Linked DNA regions of Caenorhabditis elegans. The protein of the gene in region 2 interacts with the protein of the main gene of each other region in a pairwise test. Each region holds a gene or a part of one and is shown on either strand. Other genes may lie near its edges. The genes, in order: hda-4 and mef-2.

Region 1 (7,989 bases), on a different chromosome or scaffold from region 2:
GGCTCAAAAAAGCGATCAGAAAAGGAGAAAGTGATATGTTTTGTGAAAGAATGTGCAAAAATCGTATTTTTAAATTGGAAAGCTGAAGCTTCAAAAAATCAATAAATGAGCAGTAGCTGAAAAAATATGTTTGCTCTTTACGAAAACAAGAACGTGTGTTCCAGTTTGGCCAAGTGTGATAGTCAAGTATTTTATGCATTTTGCATGCGAGCTCCTTTCCCCGTATTTCAATTCAGCATTTCCTGTTATTTCTGCACCGTATTTACCAACAAGCCTTTTGGCTCCACATCATAGGCACACACACACACACAAAAGCGGAAAAAACAGTGTGCTGTGTCTCGGACTGTCCGATAAAAATCGATACCATCCATATACACACACACACACACAAAACGTTGTGTGGATCTCGTCATAAATATTAGAAAAAACGGTGAATACAGATGGAAGTGGAGAAAGAGAGAGAGTGAGAACCAAGGCAAACACAAAATCGACGCAAAAACTGCGCGCACACTATTTTTAGGAGGCGCGAGTTTCTCCTCGTACCGTCCGCTCAGGAAGTGATGTAGAATAAGGAGATGAACTTTTCCGAGTGAAAAGCAAATTTTGAAAATGTACAGTCTGATCAAAAAAAAACTTGGCGCTTTCTCGTCTTTGAGAGCATCTGAGATCACTGTTTTATTTAAATAAACATAGTTCAGAAACGTGAGAGATGGTGCATTTGCAATTTACAACTACGGAAATTTAGAGATTTGCATAATGACAATGCTTTTTGTTCATCTTTTAAAAAAATATGTTACGGTGTCTAAATATTATAACGTTTTTTTTTACGAATGAAATGAGCTGAGGCATTTCGACTCTATTTCAGGGCAGATTTTAATTTCAGGTGCGATGCATTGTGCCAACTGAAGTGCACTATCTAAAAACGTGAACTTTTTGAATATAAAAGAGAAGGTATGAAAATCAACGTTGAAGCTCAAAAATAAAAATGAGCTAAATGTGTTGTCTAATTGTTAAATATTGATAGGCTTATTAAAAGTTAAACTTTAACTTCCTGTTTGAATTTTTCAAGGATGACCGTGAAGTGTGAGCTATACTATTACAAAAAACAAATTAGGTACAATTGATCAGTTTACACAAACGGTGCATTTTTCTTCAGTGTATTTAAAAAAGCCCAAAAAAACAAAACTTGCCACGAACAAACTGAAAAGTGACAAACACTCTACCAAAATGGAAACAAAAATCTCTTATCTTTGAATCTTGCCTTGTTCCTATTTTGGGGCAATGTGGTTTTTTGTGTTATCAACAAGTTGAGAAGAGCAAAACGAAAAAGAGAGAGAGAGAGAAAGAGAAGGAGGACAGGAAAAAGACGTGCATGGGTAACTAACATCTAGTATCTTTAATATCTATGAATAGATTTTCAATGGGAGCACGGCAAAAACACGAGCAATCCCCCACGACGATGACACTACGACGATGCACAGAGATAAAGGAAGATAGAGAGAGAGTTGGAAACACACAACATTTATATGTAGTGTAGAAGTCGAGGGATATCAGCTTTGTGTTTTGGAGTGTGAGAATGAGAAGAAGTAAGAAAAAAATTGGGAGCGGAAAGAAGAAAAAAAAAGTAGAAAGTAGTGGGGCGAAAAGCATGTGCTTTTTTTGCCGCTACTTGATGTCTCAAAATCGCTTCCTCTATCACATGAGGTCGATCATGTTTTGACGAGGCGAGAAAAATGAGTGTCACCACTGCTAAATGAGGTCAGAAGTACTTGGATTACTTGTCGCCAAAAGATCTTGTTTTTTGTTCGATGCACTTTTATCGAGAAACAAAAATATAAACGAGGTGCTGGAAAACAAGGAAACTAGAGTCAAGTCAGTGTATAGATGTAACTTTTTTGTAAATAGATAAATTCTGAGAGAGCCGGGGGAAGAAGTAAAGAAAAAATATTATAGTTTACTCTTCAATGTAATCCATAAAAAGTCTATAGTCAAGTTCAATCGACAGGCAAATTTATAAGGTTAGTATTGCTAGAAGAGACTTAAAATAGTCCTTAACGACATTTGTAAATTTTTTCAAAAATAAAATTCGTTTACAAAATTGTGGAAATTTCCTAAATTGTTGAAAACATTTCAGAATTCCTTCGTTATTGTGAAGTTTTTCAATGAAAAACTGCACCAAAATAACTTGTTCTATCTCTACGAGTTATCAAGTTCATTAGATAAATGATATCTAGACACCGGGTTTCACAACAAAAAAAAACTAATTAGGCGAGTCTAGTCTACTTGATCAAAAACCTGTCAAGTTGAGTTTGAACGATCAAATTTGGAAATTTGATTAGTCATAGTATGTAGATACATAGTATCTTTCAAAATTGAATCAGATTAAATTAATACGTAGTTTTACGTTTTGGTGAGCTACTGGGCAGGGGTGTTAGGTACAGGAAGAATACTAAAAAAACTATTACTGGAGAAATTTACTGAGATTTTACTTAACTTCGGGATAAAGGCATATAATACACAAGTACCGTTTAATGATACTTAACAAGGAAGATACTGAAGGCAAAATTCGAAAAAATAATCTATTTTCGAGTATTAAATAGCTAGCTAGAAAAAAAAATCCAGCGCGGGACTCGTGTTTTTCAGCGTTTTATATAAATGAAGAGATCTTTCTCAGAGTCCCAGTTCACTTGGAATTCACCGGCTCTGCGCAACACGGAAAGAATTCTTCGGAAATTGGTCTCGCCGTCTCGTGAACTGATCTCTGAAATGGCAATAAGGCTGCTTGAAGGTGCGTAGAAGATGATGAATTTTTGAAATTCTAGAACCAAGAAGGGGGCTAGACAGGAATTTATTATGAAGTATTGAACGAGACATTGAACTACAAAGTATTTCAAAATATAGGAAAATTGTGACACTACGTTAGTATAAAGTACAAAACATTCTTTTTTTAAAAACTGTGAACTTACATGAAAAAAATTAATCAATATTGTTTACTTTGTGCAGAATATGAAAATTCTAAGATCTGAGCCCCCAAGTTCAGTGAAAATTTTCCGTCAAGAAAAGTGCTATTTTATCTACTGGTTAGGCATTTTTTTAAATTCAAAAATAGTGAAATATTTCGTGTATTCAATTTTCATTCAACATCTATATTAAAAAAGAGATTTGAGCATTTTTTCAAGTTGTTTCCTTGAAACGATCTAAAATTCGACAAACTCAAAGAGGTGTCCTTCTGAAAAAAAATTTCCAAGAAACATGGGAAAACAGGAGACAAAAATAGAAAAAAGGCAGAATAGTAGAGAATGTAACTATTTTCAAGCTCTTGCTTTTCCTTCCCCTTCTCTTCCATTTTTTTCTTTTTTCTCTCTCCTTTCATCATGATGTACCCCTCTTCTCATCGATAAACACCGACAAACAACATCGTCAGGTTTTCCAGGCTTCTATTTTCGACACATCCGGAAATAACCTCTTCTCCTATCTTTCATTTCGCCCGTTTTTAGAGAGAAAAAAAGGCATGAGAGAGAGAGAGAGAGAGTGGGTGTGTCATTGGACTATTTCTAGCTGAAAATACACTCATCTGATGGGAATGTATTTTGGAACGATACGTAATACTTGAGCTATGATGCTATGTAGAACATACAAAGCTAACGGTAAAGTCAATTGGGATTTTCTTTTAGATTTAAGAAAATGGGCCATAATGACCTAATATATTTTTTAAAGTTTTTGATTCCAATTTTGCAAAAAATTATTTGAATGAATTAACTAGTTTAAAATTCCTAGCGCAAATCAGGCATTTTCCGGTAATATTTAGTTGTTTTTTTTTTGCAATATTGTTTGCCAAATTTTCAGCTGTTTTACTGTGAACTAAACATACTAACTCTAAGTTCGAGTTTTATTTTATTCTGTTCAAAATTGCAAAAAAAAATCATCAAAAAATCTAGAAAATTCGCATTCATTTTATTACAAATTTTTTTTCAGTTTTTAAAGATGATAACGGTTTAATTGGATGTAGATTTCTTTTTATTTTCCTTTTATTTTTTGAAAAAAAAAACAATTCGGTCATATTAGCCAAGGTTTTTTAAAAAATATTTTCAACTATTTAGAGACTTAATAACAAAGTTTATCAAGTTCTTCACAACTTTTTTAATCAAAAACTAGCCAATCAATTTCTGATTTTTTTTAATTTTCAAAAAACATTTATAGAATTTATGGTGAATCTACAAAAAATGAATCTTAAAAATAAAGACTGTGATGCTAAATAAAAATAACAAACTTTTGCCAAAAATTGACTGATGCTAGAAGTTAGATCCAGATTAGAAAGTTATACAATAAAAAAAATAGACTCACCTGAAGCTGTGATTGAAGAAGAGCAATACTTTCCGGCTCAAGATTCGTCTGTCCTATGGCAGCTTCTGATGTTGATGGCAAGTTGGGAACACTTGGTCCAGCCCCACCAGCGCTCCCCGTTGAGGAGCTGGCTTCTTCCATACGCCTGCAAAAATGGAAACAATATTAAAAATGATCCGAGTTATAGATGATGCCAGAATATAATTATGAAAATAAATTGGCATATACTCTAGTTTGAAAATTTATGTTCGAAGGTTCAATACACTTATATTAAAAATAAATGTATGTTAAGTTATTAAAAAATTAAAATGTTTGAAGGAGAGATGTTGCAATATTTATTATGTATAACAATTTTCAAAAAAAGCCCTTTCAAAACATGATAGGTGTGAAAGTAGAAACTAAGAATTTGCGGCATTGTGTAAAGGAAGCTCCGGTTTCAAGAAGAAATGATATAATAACAGCTGGTATCATTTATTGATAGCCTCGTAGCCTCTGTGTTTGTATATTTTTTACACATATGGAAGACTAGAACAGAGATAAAAATCTCAAAGACTGAAACAAGCCAAAATCAAAAAAAAAACAAAAAACAAAGAGTTTTGTGCAGAGCAAGGTGTGAAAAGAATGGGAGAAAAATGGTGTTAAAGCAAGTTTTCAAAACAATGCTACCTCGGAAGATGAAAAGACCACCCGCGACAGAGTTTAAAAATGAAAAGAGTCGTCGGAAAGGAGCAAAAGTCGGGGTCTCTTCAGCTTCTGTTACTTTTCTGGCTCATCACACAACTTATTTTTTCAACATTCTAGTGGGACACAGGAAACAAATCTTTTAAAAAATGGTTTTTTTTCAAAAAACCGTCAACAAATGATTGTTTTCTAAACATAAAAATCATTTTGAATACTTGCATAAATTTATTTAATTTGAATTGTTTTTGGAAAATGTCACTTTTTTCAGGTTTTTAGGGAATCGAATAAACTGGAAAGATGCACTGAAAATGTTCAGAATTATCCTTTGGCGCTAAATAAACATTTGAAATGTAATTTTTGGTTAAAAAAACTGAGCTCTAACAGTGAAAGCAAATTATATACTCCGTTAGATCAATTTGAACTTTTGGTTGTTGTACTTTCAGAAAATATGCACCGATTTACTCTAAATTTTGCTCGAAAATGTCCAATGATTTTACAAACCTTTGAACAGATCGTCTACCCCTTCCGAAATCAAATAACCGAAGCAAAAGTTTCCCCTCAAAACCTAATTGTTTATAAATTTCATATTCAATTACTTTTTGCAGAATATCTCATTTCACCACCGGAATGCGGAGGTGTTGAACGGACGCAGAAGCTCTCATCAGTAATTTATGACGAAGTACGTCATAGATGTACTCTAGCAAAACAAGAAAAAGGTAAAAATTGGAAACTAGCAACCACAATGCAAAATTCAACATCAGAAGTTGGAATGAGAATTGGGCTGCGGAAAAAAAAGTGGGGGAAAGACCAAAGAAAGGAGAAGATATAAAGAAACTTTTTGATGCTGACAGAGAAAGAGTCCGCATTATGTTAGCTATTCAATTCCAATTGGAGAAATGAGACACAGAATCCGCCGTGAAAAGAAACGATCAATTCTCGATTCTAGTTTTCAGAAACTGATTTGAAGAGAAGTAAAATATAATTTTTATCAACATTAAAATTATCAATTTCTAAAGATCAGAAACAAATCGGCACGACGAAAAGTTACTTGCAAAATGTATGGTTTATGATAAAACATTTGAAAAAAATCCTCAAAGGGTATATTTCGATTTGAACGTAATATTCTGATTTTGGATTGCGTTTTTTTTTTTGAGTTTAAAGAACGTTTCTCAAAATTGGTAGAAAAATGTGAAGTTTATAACTGAACTCTGATATTATTCTCTAACTAAGGCTACCAAATGTAATTTTTGGTGTAAAATACTATAATCTGAATAATCTTAATAAAATAATGACTTTGTACATCTAACTGATAAATCAAATTAAAAATGTTCGTATATTGGAAAAAGCAATGAAATTAAAAATATATATTGCTAAAAGTATTCAACCTTTTAAAACTATTATAATATGACAGAAAATGTTATTGTTTCAAATGAGTTTTTAACATTCTAAAAAAATTTCAACACAGTATTTTTCTCCCATTGAAAATTCCTATAAAATTATTAAACTCTTCTGCAAAAAATTACAGTGTTAAAGTAAATTCAAAAATAAAGTATATAAAATTATTGGCTCTTTTCAAAATATGGTTACAGTTCAGAATGAGTTTAACAAAATTTGAAGTCTACTGAAGTACATCAGTATTTATATTTTAACTTTTTGTTTTACACTAATGATAAAAATAAAATAAAAAAACGTAATTTAAAAAGTAGAGGTGATAACAAATTATATATTAAACGTTTTACAACAATAATGACCTTTACGGTAACGAGTAATTAAATCTCAAATTAACAGATGATAACCATCGCATCACTTTCAATAATGAAGCCAAGTTAAGAGTGAAGAGAGTGTCACAAGAGATATAGACTGAGGTAGCGTTGGTTGTGAGAGCGTCAGACATTTGGTCTGAGACGTCGAGACGCAGACACGACGGTGGGGCGCAATGGCTGATAGTGTGCGGGAGTGAAGAGAGCGGCGAGAACATTGGGGGGAGCCTTCTCGCTCACACACACACACACACACACAAACACTCACCAAATACTCACTCGCCGAGAAAGAGAAACACGGGGCGCCCCCCGATAGATGCACATAGAAGAGTGTCGGAGAATGAGAGACGCAGTCAGAGGGACAGGACGTACGATGAGACGAAAATAGACTAGAAGAAGGAGGAGAAGGGGCACACATACACATACACACGCCATCAACAATCCAGACCACCCCAAACATTTGAGAGATCTACATAAATACATATCAATTAAGATTGCAAATTTCGGTGTTGGAAAATTCCAAAAATAACATGATAGTTTTTTTGTTCGACACGTGAGACAACACCACAATTTTCAAAAAAAAAACGGTAATTTCACAGTTATAATGATGAAATGATAATATCAGTAAAATCCTATGTGGACGTGTTTATAACTAAAACCTGCAATAAATGCAGTTCAAATTAGTTATTTTTCAACGACGAATCTTTTTGAAAGAACATTTTTAGATTTGTGTAGTAGCGTCAAATTGATCTTTTTATACAATAAACAAAGTGGCCCCAACGGACCAAATGTTAAAATGTTCATTAAAAATGGACCTTAATGAAACTGTAAAAAACAACAAGGTTTTTGCAAAAATGTCTTTAAAGGTGGAGTGGCGCCAATTGGGATTTGGTCCAAACACATTTATAATGATCCAAAACGACTAAATATCATAATAAAACACTCCAAAAAAATTCAGATTTTTTATAATTTCCGGTCAAAGTTTTGGCAAAGTTTGGGAAAATGTGAGTTTCTGAGGAAACCCAAAGCAATGTCGCATGTTCGGGCCCCTACAATATTTCAATACAAATAATTAAAACAACATTACAGTGTTAAAAAATGTAGGAAAAAACAAATTTTTTTGCTCGGCTTCCAAAATTATGAGTGACAAAAACTGATTGACATTTTTTTATCGTGAATAAAAAGTATTGAAAAAATTGTTGAA
Region 2 (10,475 bases):
TATTATATGATATTGTTAAACTAACATCTGCTTCTCCCTGTCCACACTCACTAAACTGTCTGTTTGTTGCAGCAGTCAGCAAATTCATCAACACAATCATCTCCGCTTGTTCAACTTCACCATACGACACATCCATTGAATTTTGCTCAATCATCTTATATGAATCCCTCTTCAGGATCTCAAACACCTACATCACAATACGGATATTCGGTATGCCAGCACGTGTTAATAGTCTACCACACGCACTAATACTCTAGTGATATTTTTTCATAACGACAGAACAAAAAAATCCTGTTTTAATCTCTTTTTTTTCTTTGTTCAAGCCCCTATTAATTGGATAAGATACTTAGATGATTGTCCACTGCACTAGAATTCTGTCGAATTGAAAAAAATGCACTAGTTTTACGTCTGGAATTATAAACTTAACAAATATTTTTCAAAATTTTTTAAAAATTGAACTCTCGTTTTCAGCCAATGATAAACCAGGCACCACACTTCCAAATGCAAAACGGGCTCATAGGGCGAAACAATCAAATGGTTCATATGCAGCAGCACCATCTTCAGCAGCAACAACAGCAGCAGCAGTCACCACAAATCATGTCTCCGTCTTTTTATGCTCAACAGCAAATGTCAAACGGTAATTTTTTGTACACCTTACAAAGTTTTTGTATATTATGTTTAAACATCAAAACAATCACTTCACGATCTTCAGTTAATAGCGAGTAAACTTGTTGTGTAATTGCAACCATCCTGCATGCAAATATATATTTATTTCCCTTACTTGGTTTGGCCTCACTTTCAGGTGACACCAATAACATCCAACCACCACGAATTCTTTCCATGGCTGAAATACAAGCAAATGCATCTCGACTTTTGGTAAATGGACACCTGATGATCGATCACTCAGGAGTCACTATGCGCAATCCACGTGGCTCACGGAATTAATGCATGAATTGTATTTTTTGTGCCGTCTAGTTCATTTGATTTATGTGCATCTTTTACCCATATCCACGATTTACAATTTTTAACAGAATCCTGCTTGTGCTTTAGTCTAGTAAGTTATATTTGTCTGCATTATACGGCTGATTCGATGAACTTTAACTAGAATTTTGTGACGGTAATGTTTTTGTTAAATGAAGCTGAGTATCCTGTATGCAATCTTTTAAATACAATTGAAAAACACAATCCACTAATTTTAGATTTTTATTTAAAAATTAGATTTTCAATATTCAAAGTTTCAGGTGGTGCATTTGCATATTATCCTCCACAATACCCGCAGCAGCAGTATCGTCAGAATTGATTGATTTCCAATCATACTGCTTAATCTCATTCTTTTGTTTTTTTTTTGAGTTAATTTGGCTTTAATTTAATGTTCGGAACTTCAACCGACCCAATCAAATATCTCACATTTCTCTCCGTGATTTTTGTTCAATATGTTTTAATTTTCAAATCGAGCCCCCAAATCGTGTTTCTAGTTTTCCATCCATTTCATCCGATGTTTTTCCACAGCCGTGAAAATGCACAAGTGGCCTAGAAATTGTAAGAATCTAGGCCATGCGGCTTTCCTGATACCATATTTTTTTCCATTTAAATGGATGCATTTGTTCTCCAATGAATCGATTTATTTATACATATTTGTTTTAAAGAACAAATAATCAATTATAATAATTAGACCGGGGTGGCGAAATGGGAACATTTTTGAGAGAAAAAACTACCGAATCAGTGAGAAGACTAGGGGGAAAAATACAGGGAGAAATCACAAGAGAGAGAGACAAAAATGAAAGAATGAAAAATAAAATAAATATAGGAAAAATAAAAACAAATAAAAAATGAGAGAAGAATACCCGCATTTTATGTTTTTTTCTTCAGAACATGAAAATATCAAAATTTTTTGGATTTTTGTCTTTATGCATACGGGCTCCATCGAAAATTAACAATTGAGCACGTTTGCAGAGATAAATTTAAAAAAAAAGAAGAGGAGCAATACGTGGAATGTCGGAGAGGAAGTTTTATGTCTTGAATCACAAAAATTTCGAAATAAAACAACGCTCTAATGCAAAATTACGGTAAACGGTCTCGACACGATCGGCATACCAAATGAGATGCACGGGGAAGACCTTTAAAGAGTACTGTAGTGTTGCACTCCACTTCGACAACAGGGCGAAACGTGAGGAAAATGGGGGAAATTCAAGTAAACGAGAAAAACATGTGGAGCGAGAGACTACAGTAATCCTTGAACACGGGCAGACCGCGTACCGTATTTCTGGGTCGGAAATTGCACAAAAATATTTTCAAAATAGTAAAATTCTGCGAACTCCGGAATGAATTACAAATAGTTGCAAAAAGGAGCGTCGTCTCATCTCTTAATTAAACAATAGTGACAGACAGCTAAAAATAAAAATTTAACAAGAAGTTATCAAGTCAATTGCTGTGGTCTCCACTCTGTTGTAATTCTTGGACGTTTTTCAGGTGGTGAATGTGGTTCCATTTTGACATATGTATTTGGATCCAATTTATATGGTAGATTTGGACCACCTAAATCTAATACTGAATGACCATTTAATGAGCTGACATTTGGAGATAAGAGTGATGAAGTTCCGTTTGAGATTCCGTTTGTTGATGAATTGCTTACTGTAAAATAGAAAATAATAATTTTTTGAATTTAAATTTATATATTCTTCCCATTTTTCTAAAACCACAATTGATTCGATGAACTCTGTGATGCATTTGTACCTAACCCATATTTTCCAAAATTTCAATGGCCGGGAATAGATTCAAAGTTTTAATAATAGAAATGACCTTGTGAATATATGAGTATATACTACTTGAACTTCTTTTTTGGGAAACCGTTTATGCACGAGATCTTAGAAGTTTTTCCAAAAGTAGCCGAAATTTTCTTTTATCAGTTTTTCTACCAAAAATTCATCTAACACTTGAAAAAAAAACTCCGAAGAGATATTTTAAAATTTTAGTAAAGCCTAGTATGTTCTTCTGGCGTTCGAACTTAGGATGCCGACTATGAATCGGTTAAAATGCGTTCTGTTATATCCACCATTTATTTCTAATCCCTATTTCCTATTTGTGCCAAAAAATTAGTTTTGTTCATTACTTGCGCATTGAAATTGATAGGTTCTAAGCCTAAGCCTGATATTGTAAAAATTAATTTCCACAAACTTACTACTAGGTGCAGGCTGTGAAACAGGGCGTTGTTGTAATGCAGATGACCAAATATTTTGATCAGCTGCAGCTCTTGATGATGGTACAAGATCACAATCAGCATCAGCAGCGGCAATTGGATGAAGGCGTGACGTGTCATAGGCAAATGAAGTTGATGGAGGAAAATCGAGATGTTTTGATGAGGATGAGGAAGGAGCAACAGATGTAGAGGACAGAGGATCATTTCTGGAAATAAATACATGAAAAATATACCAAAATATTCAAAAACCGTACCTTTGGTTCAAATGGCGAGTGTAGTTGGGATTAAATATCAAATTCTGGTACAAGTTCAAATTATGATGTCGTTGAGCATTTGATGCTTGTAGTGCAGCCGCTGCAGCAGCCGCACCCGAAGATGTTCCCTCAACTGCTGCAACTGCGGCTGCTGCTGCTGCAACAGCGGCAGCAGAAGCAGAAGCTGCAGAAGCCACCGAATTATTAGAACTATGTCCATTAACAACAGCAGGCATTGTTATTTGAATGACAGGTGATGTTGATGGTCCAGGGCTTTCATCATCCGAATTTCCGCCTCCCTGATTGCCTTCTTTTCGATTCAAGGCTTCCATGATGTCATTATTAGTACGGGATTCATGAGGTTCATTGTATTCAGTGTATTTCAACAATACCTTATCCATGTCAGTTGAGGCATATCTGAAATTGTTATTATTTTAATATCTAGCATCCCAATTCAATTAAAACTTACTGAAATAGTTTGTTAGTTGAGTTGAAGACGATGAGTGCAATCTCACAATCACAGAGAACCGATAATTCGTAGGCTTTCTTCATCAATCCAAACTTTCGTTTGGTGAATGTCACCTGAAATATTAACATAGAAATTTGCATATTTTCATTTGCTTTTTTTGAATGTTTTTCTTTTCTAAAAAGGATTTCTCAAATTGATTCTTTTTAATAATAATGATATGTCGGTCATTTCTAAAAAAAAAGTGTTGTCTTGACCAATCAGCAATCATGGCCACACCCACCCGGTGTTCCCTGATTGGTCAATGTTTGCTCCTAACCTCAAAATTAGCAAAAGCACACTGAGTTTTCTGGAGAAAACCCAATAGAACCAAAAACACGTGTTCATCTTTCCCTAAATAGGCCTGCAAATTTATTTCTAATTTTGCTAATGAATTTTTCTATTTTTTTCTAATAAAATCTAATTAGGACCCAGCTCATTTGTTATTCTCCACCCACGCTTATTTTGAGCAGCAGCATTAATTAATTAAGGAGTTCCAGCTGTTTTCATATTTTTCTTTAATTCTCTCTAATGTCTTTTATTTCAGTTCATCAGTTTCCAATTCCGTCGTCATTATTCTATTTTGGTGCTGTATCGATTCTAAAAATAGTCGCCCCCTCCTTTTTTCGTTTCGCTTTGCCTGCTTTTTCAGGCTCTCCTATCATCAAGAAGAGAGAGTGACAGAGATAGAGAAACAAACTTGTTTTTTCCTCTCTTTTCAATCTGAAATCTCTCGATTCTATGTGCTCTCTGGCTCTCTTGGCTCGATGTCGTCAGAGACGAGAGATTGTGTGAGAGGTGGAGAGAGAGATAGATGGCGACGACGCGTTGATGACGTCATCTGAAGAGCATGAAAAGAAGAAGAAGGCGAAGAAAGAGGAGGCGGGTGGAGAAAAAAAAAGAGCACAAGGACTTTTATGCTTCAGATTCCTTTATGAAAAAAATGAGAAAGGAAATGGTGACCTTTTCAACATGGAAATGTCCTAGAATGATTGGAAAAGTTAAGTCACTTATACGGAACTTAAATTCAGTGAGCAACAGGCAAGTTAAAAATTTTCAGAAATTTTCTTGCACAACTCAATCAACAATTAACCAAGTTTTTGAAGATCTAACCTTCGAGGTTTAAGACAGCTGGAGCTTGAAAAATTAACATTTTGCAGCAACATGCATGTTAAACTCATTTTCCGACAATAGAAAAGTTGGCGAAAAAATTGAAAGATTTAAAAAATTCAATAAATCCTAGAGCTCTCGAAAAAAACACTTAGGGAATATTATTGTAACCGGAAAATGATTGGAGTATGAACACATCTTATTAACATTATAGTCTATTGTTAACATTAATCATTATTTCGATATTTCAAAGTCAAATTTCCTAAAACTCATATTTTATGCGATGAAAAATGGGTCAAAAATCTACTTCGAATTAATTAAACCCTCTAAAACTTTTGGCAAATTACCGAAATTTCAGAAAATCTGGATTTGAGTAATTTGGGCAGGTTCGTATACCTACAATGTGCAAATTATCAAAAAACTAAAATATAAAAGTCATAGCATTTTTTGGCTGGCTTGCAAAATCTATCGATGAAATTTAAAAAATGTTCGCAAAAGTTTTAATATGATACTACTGCAATTTTAGCACATCTGGCAATATTCCAACTTAAATTTCCAAATTGAAAATTACTGTAGATTACTGTACTTTAGATCATCACACAACACACCACGACCACCTACTCCATACCGCAATAATCATTAATCTTATTCCTCAACGAAAGGAATTCTCCACTTCTCACAGTTTTCCACGTGACAATCACAAGATTGGTGAGAGAAATGAACGATTTTTTGACAAATGACTAAAAGATTTTCAAGTTTTTGAGAAAACGAAAGGCAAAAACATGTTAATTTGTCAAGAAAGTACCTTGATGTTTTTCGAATTATTTTTCAAAGTTTTGAATTTACCACAAAAAAGGATTTATTGTAGAATTATAGATTTTTCAGCAGATGACATTCATTAAATAATTTTATAATTTCAAAAGAACCTATGAATTTCTAAATTTGTTGAAAATTAAGTTCTAGAAGAAAAAGGGTCATAAAAAACAAATACTAATTTCCAGGTATCATGAGATTTAAAATGAATATACTAGGATCAGACGACGGAATAAAGATTATCTCAATTTGTTGTTTATTTTTCTTTCAGAAAAAGAAAATGTTCATAAATGTTCTGACAATTTTTTGATAAAAATTAAATTATTGTAAAGCTTGCTATTGCCTAAAAATTTTGTTCACTAGAAGCCAAAAAAATTGTCAAATTTTATAAAACTTCGAAATCTGCTGAAGCAAATTTTGATAGCAAAAAAAGAAAGTCACTTGTTTTTAGCAAACGTATTGTAAAAAAAAAATTTAAACTAACAAATTTTTAATTTTTTTTTTCAACAAAAAAAAAGCAAAAAAACCAACCTGTCGATTTCTCTCATCTTGTATCCTGGTGATTTGAATTTTCTTGCGACCCATCGCCGTCTTCACGTAACGATTACTCGAACCTTGAATTTTTGCAAGCGGGGAGAACCTTAATAAAATAAATTTTAATTTCAGAAAAAAACAGATTTTCAGATCCATATAATGAGAAAAAATTGCGGGTGAAACCAGAACACAGAAAACTGCATGGAGAAACGAAAAGAGAGGTGTTATGAATCGAGAAACAGAGTTAAAGATTGAGAAAAATTGAGACGCAGACGATGAGATGGCGAGAAAATGTGAAAAAATAAATGAAAAAGGGAGAGAGAGAGTACCCGTGACCACTGATGATCATCAAAAACAAATAGAAAATTGAGATAGAGATTGAGTCAGAGAGACACAGACGAATCCAGAAGTTTCAAGATGAATTGATGAATAATGTTACATTTTTGATTATCATGAAGAGAGACCAAAAAAATAAATTGAGAACAGAAAATGACCAAATATTCGTGGAGACAACTAGCTCCGCCCATTACTCTCCCCGGAAAAGGAGGCGGGGCTTTAGGGAAGAAGAGAGAATTAGATGGAATACGAAAAGATGATGATAAGAGGTCGAAACTAGATCAATTCACAGTTCTGATAAGAAGAATTTTCCGTGTTTTAGTTTATTACCAAGTTATAGTACGACATCAAATATTATTTTAAGATTTTGCAACTTTTGAAATTCCACAAATCTTTTTGTGGATTCTCTTTGAATCAGTTTCTCTCGACTGACCCCGCCAGAAGAATCACAATTTTCTGATGTTAAACCACATTAATCGATAACTACCAATACTTCAGACTTGTGGCTCATTTATTACCAATAGAATCTCTGGAGGTTACCATGATTTTTCATAATCTATATTAATGCCACATGACATTCAAATCTCTTGCAAAATCCTCTGTTGACAACACATTCATATTCGGTTTTGTTTAAGTAAGAGTATTCATATTACTTATTAAAAGCAACGTTGGAAATACGAAGAGTGTATTCTAGGTAATTATTGTGAGATCATACCGATGAAATCAAAACATGATTTTCCTTACGCAGTCAAAACTTATGCAGCAGTCAAAGTTAGGCAGTTCCGAAGGTACGAATTACACGAGCCTGCCTTCTTGCCTTCACGGAAAATATACGCCTTAGAAAAAGGAAAACGGTAGGTGAGGTGTGAACACTATGACGGCAAATCTCGCACTGTAACGCTTTGGAGAACGGATTCAGACTTTTTCTAGACTTTCTCAAAACTACGCTTATCCACGGTTTCAGGAGATCCAACAGGGACTACCTGCCAATGATTACTTAACACCATATAAGTACCCCATGACCCATTAGCAGAAACCTACAGTAACTTGTCAATCGAGAAAAGATTAAATCTTTTGATAGTGGTCATGTCACACAAACCTTTCACAATTTATTCACTAATTTCTCAAAATTTCTCCTAAACACCAAAAAACTTATTATCTTCAATTTTAATCAAATTTTCAGTTTTCTTGCCCGCAGTTTTCTCATTTTCAGAAGTGACAAAAAAATGAAGAGGGAAAGATTGAGAAGACACATGATTTGCTAGTTGAAAAAATCGGGAAAAATGTTGTGGAAAAGAGTTTGAGAGAAAGAGGATGAAATGACAAGAAAAAAATATCATTGATTGAATCATATTCTTTTGTTTTATTTTCCTAGATTTTTGTGAAAAATTGTAGAAAATTCATGTATTATTTTGTTCGAAAACTTCTTTAGAAACTTTTCCTTTATGAACTTCAAAATAGTCCACGAGGTGTAATGTGGGGCCTCCCAACCGCCTCTTTCCACGCCCCGGCGGATGGAGAGCTGAAAAGCCTAACTCGGCCTACTGAACTTTTGGTTCAAAAACTTCAAACGGTCTTTTGAAAAATTGAAAAGATGATAGAAAAAAGAGGAGAAAAATGCATTACACCAAAAAGATTAGCGACAATTTTTTCTTGGTTTTGGAGCTGCGAGAGCAACTTCTGATTGACGTTGATCCCGGAGGGGAACTTTGCAAAATTTTCCAAAATGGTTGAGCACAAAATTTTTGGACATAAATACGCAATGCGTTGACTCAAAAAAGCAACGCCAATAAAACTATAAAATCGGAACGAACATTGATGACGTAGACATTTAGATTTTGAATGAAATATTGAAATTTATTTACGAAATTTTAGATTCATGTTAGACTTAATCTTTAAATCGGGGTTTATATTTTGGTAATTATTTTTTATTCCACAAAACATTGAAAATTATTCAAAAATTTGCCACATTGTGAGGCGTTGATTAGTCCAAAAATGAGACGAATAGGTGAAAAACAAAAAGTGGGCGGAGCTTCAGATGTGATATGAAATGACCCCCCAAATGATGAGATAGTGAATAAGTTGAAGAGATGAAGATACATTTTTTAGGCATTAATTTTCTCTTCTTCCGTGTCTAATCATATATATTATCAATCAATAAAAGTCAAATGAAATACCGATTTTTTGCTTGAGATGAGAAGAATGAGAAAATAAAAGAAACACAGAGAAATTTAGAAAAAAAGAGAAAGAAGATATTCGGTTACATTTGAGAAATCTCGGATATCTCGAAAATGTCCATGTCAAAAAATCAAAGAAAACTGAGGATAAATTTTGGTTGAAAAAAATATCTTGACCTGAGTATATCTCAGAATTTTAAATTTCACCTGAAAGTTTGAATGTGAGCTTAAAATAGGAAATTTCTGAAAAGAGATTAAAGATATATAAACTGCTGGATTGGATTAGCATGGAAATCATATGGGAATCCACGTCATTGTGAGACGGAAGTGAAGACTTTTGGCAATTGAGAAGTTTTCGGAGTCTTCTTTAGCATTATACAGATTTTGTTGGTTGTCATCAACTCAAGCAAGGAGGCTGTATCGTGCCTACATGCCTGCCTACTTCCGGAATAAACGTTAAAAAATGTTGTACTTTTTCAGATTTTAAAGTGACAACTTAGAACAAATTCAGATTACAACACTCAGACGAATAGGCAGCAGGCAGGCAGGCACATTCGTTTCCACTATTATGTTTAGCTGTTTTTAACATATTTATGAAGTATTTTTGCGTACTTGCAAAAATAGCACCAGCGATGAAATTTAGTACTAAATATTTTAAACTTCTACATTCAATTTTTGGTAACTCTAGGTTTATTCTCAGCAATTTCAATATTTTTTATCAACTAGTGATTATAGGTACTTCTAGAAAGGCTCATAAAGAATGATTGAAGTTAAAAGAATGTCTGGCTCGAAGAGTTCGTGTAGGCGTTAAAAACCAATCGTTTCCTCCCCGCCACTCAAAAATTTAATTTCCGGGAATGTTATGGTTTAGGTATCCGGAGAATTTCAGAATTTAATGACGTCATCGAGTGCTATGTCGGGATCTCACGGAACCCGAAATAACAACAAAAAATGGCTGAAAATGACACACAAAGAAAGGAGGAAGGACAGCGAAAAAAAAGCGAAGAAAAGCAGAAAAAGAAAAAAGAGAGAAAAATGAGGAAGAGAGAGAGAGAGAGAGAGATAGACCACGCCCTTTTGACTGACATATTCTCTCTCTTTTTTTTTCTCGGCTCTTTTGAAGCTGTGGCTCTCGGGGTGCTCGGTGAGCAGCAGCAGCAGTATGTTGCTCTCTCTCTCTCTTTTGAGCCAAAAGCTTTGAGAAATTGCTCCTCATGCTTTTGAGCTTACGGGGAGGAAGGCGTCTATTGAGGAAGTTGCTTGCTCTCTGAAAAAACTTATTTGAGGGAAAATATGAACTCAAAATATCTGAACTTAAACGATCTTGAAGAAACATTCAAGAAAAATTAAATTGTGCAAAAAATGGATATTCGCTAGTGATCTAGAAAAGTGATCTAGAAAGTCCTATTAAATCTTAAATGTTGTCAATCGGGATTTTTTTGTTGAAAAGATAGAAAATGGGTCAATGATAGAAATAATACACAAAGTTTACAAAGGATTAAAGATTTACCAGGTGAAACCAAAAATTGATCTTGTACTAACTAATCAGT

What was found.
Region 1: the proteins of mef-2 (region 2) and hda-4 interact in a two-hybrid assay, tested with the Caenorhabditis elegans proteins (one study listed by BioGRID).

The regions. Positions count from the first base shown.
Region 1 is NC_003284.9:16,726,059-16,734,047, reverse strand, and holds the start of hda-4 (Histone deacetylase 4), read right to left. Parts: upstream 4,490-7,989; 5' UTR 4,486-4,489; coding exon 4,345-4,485; intron 3,481-4,344; exon of another isoform or gene 3,348-3,480; intron 1-3,347. UniProt on the Caenorhabditis elegans protein: Responsible for the deacetylation of lysine residues on the N-terminal part of the core histones (H2A, H2B, H3 and H4).
Region 2 is NC_003279.8:9,092,000-9,102,474, reverse strand, and holds mef-2 (MEF2 transcription factor homolog), read right to left. Parts: upstream 6,519-10,475; 5' UTR 6,464-6,518; coding exon 6,410-6,463; intron 4,033-6,409; coding exon 3,920-4,032; intron 3,868-3,919; coding exon 3,451-3,867; exon of another isoform or gene 3,403-3,450; coding exon 3,179-3,402; intron 2,632-3,178; coding exon 2,417-2,631; 3' UTR 1,613-2,416; downstream 1-1,612. Other genes in the region: E3 SUMO-protein ligase gei-17, read left to right, coding at 73-210, 472-637, 1,242-1,300. UniProt on the Caenorhabditis elegans protein: Transcription regulator. Binds specifically to the MEF2 element, 5'-[TC]TA[AT][AT][AT][AT]TA[AG]-3' in the regulatory elements of target genes, such as chemoreceptors str-1 and srh-234.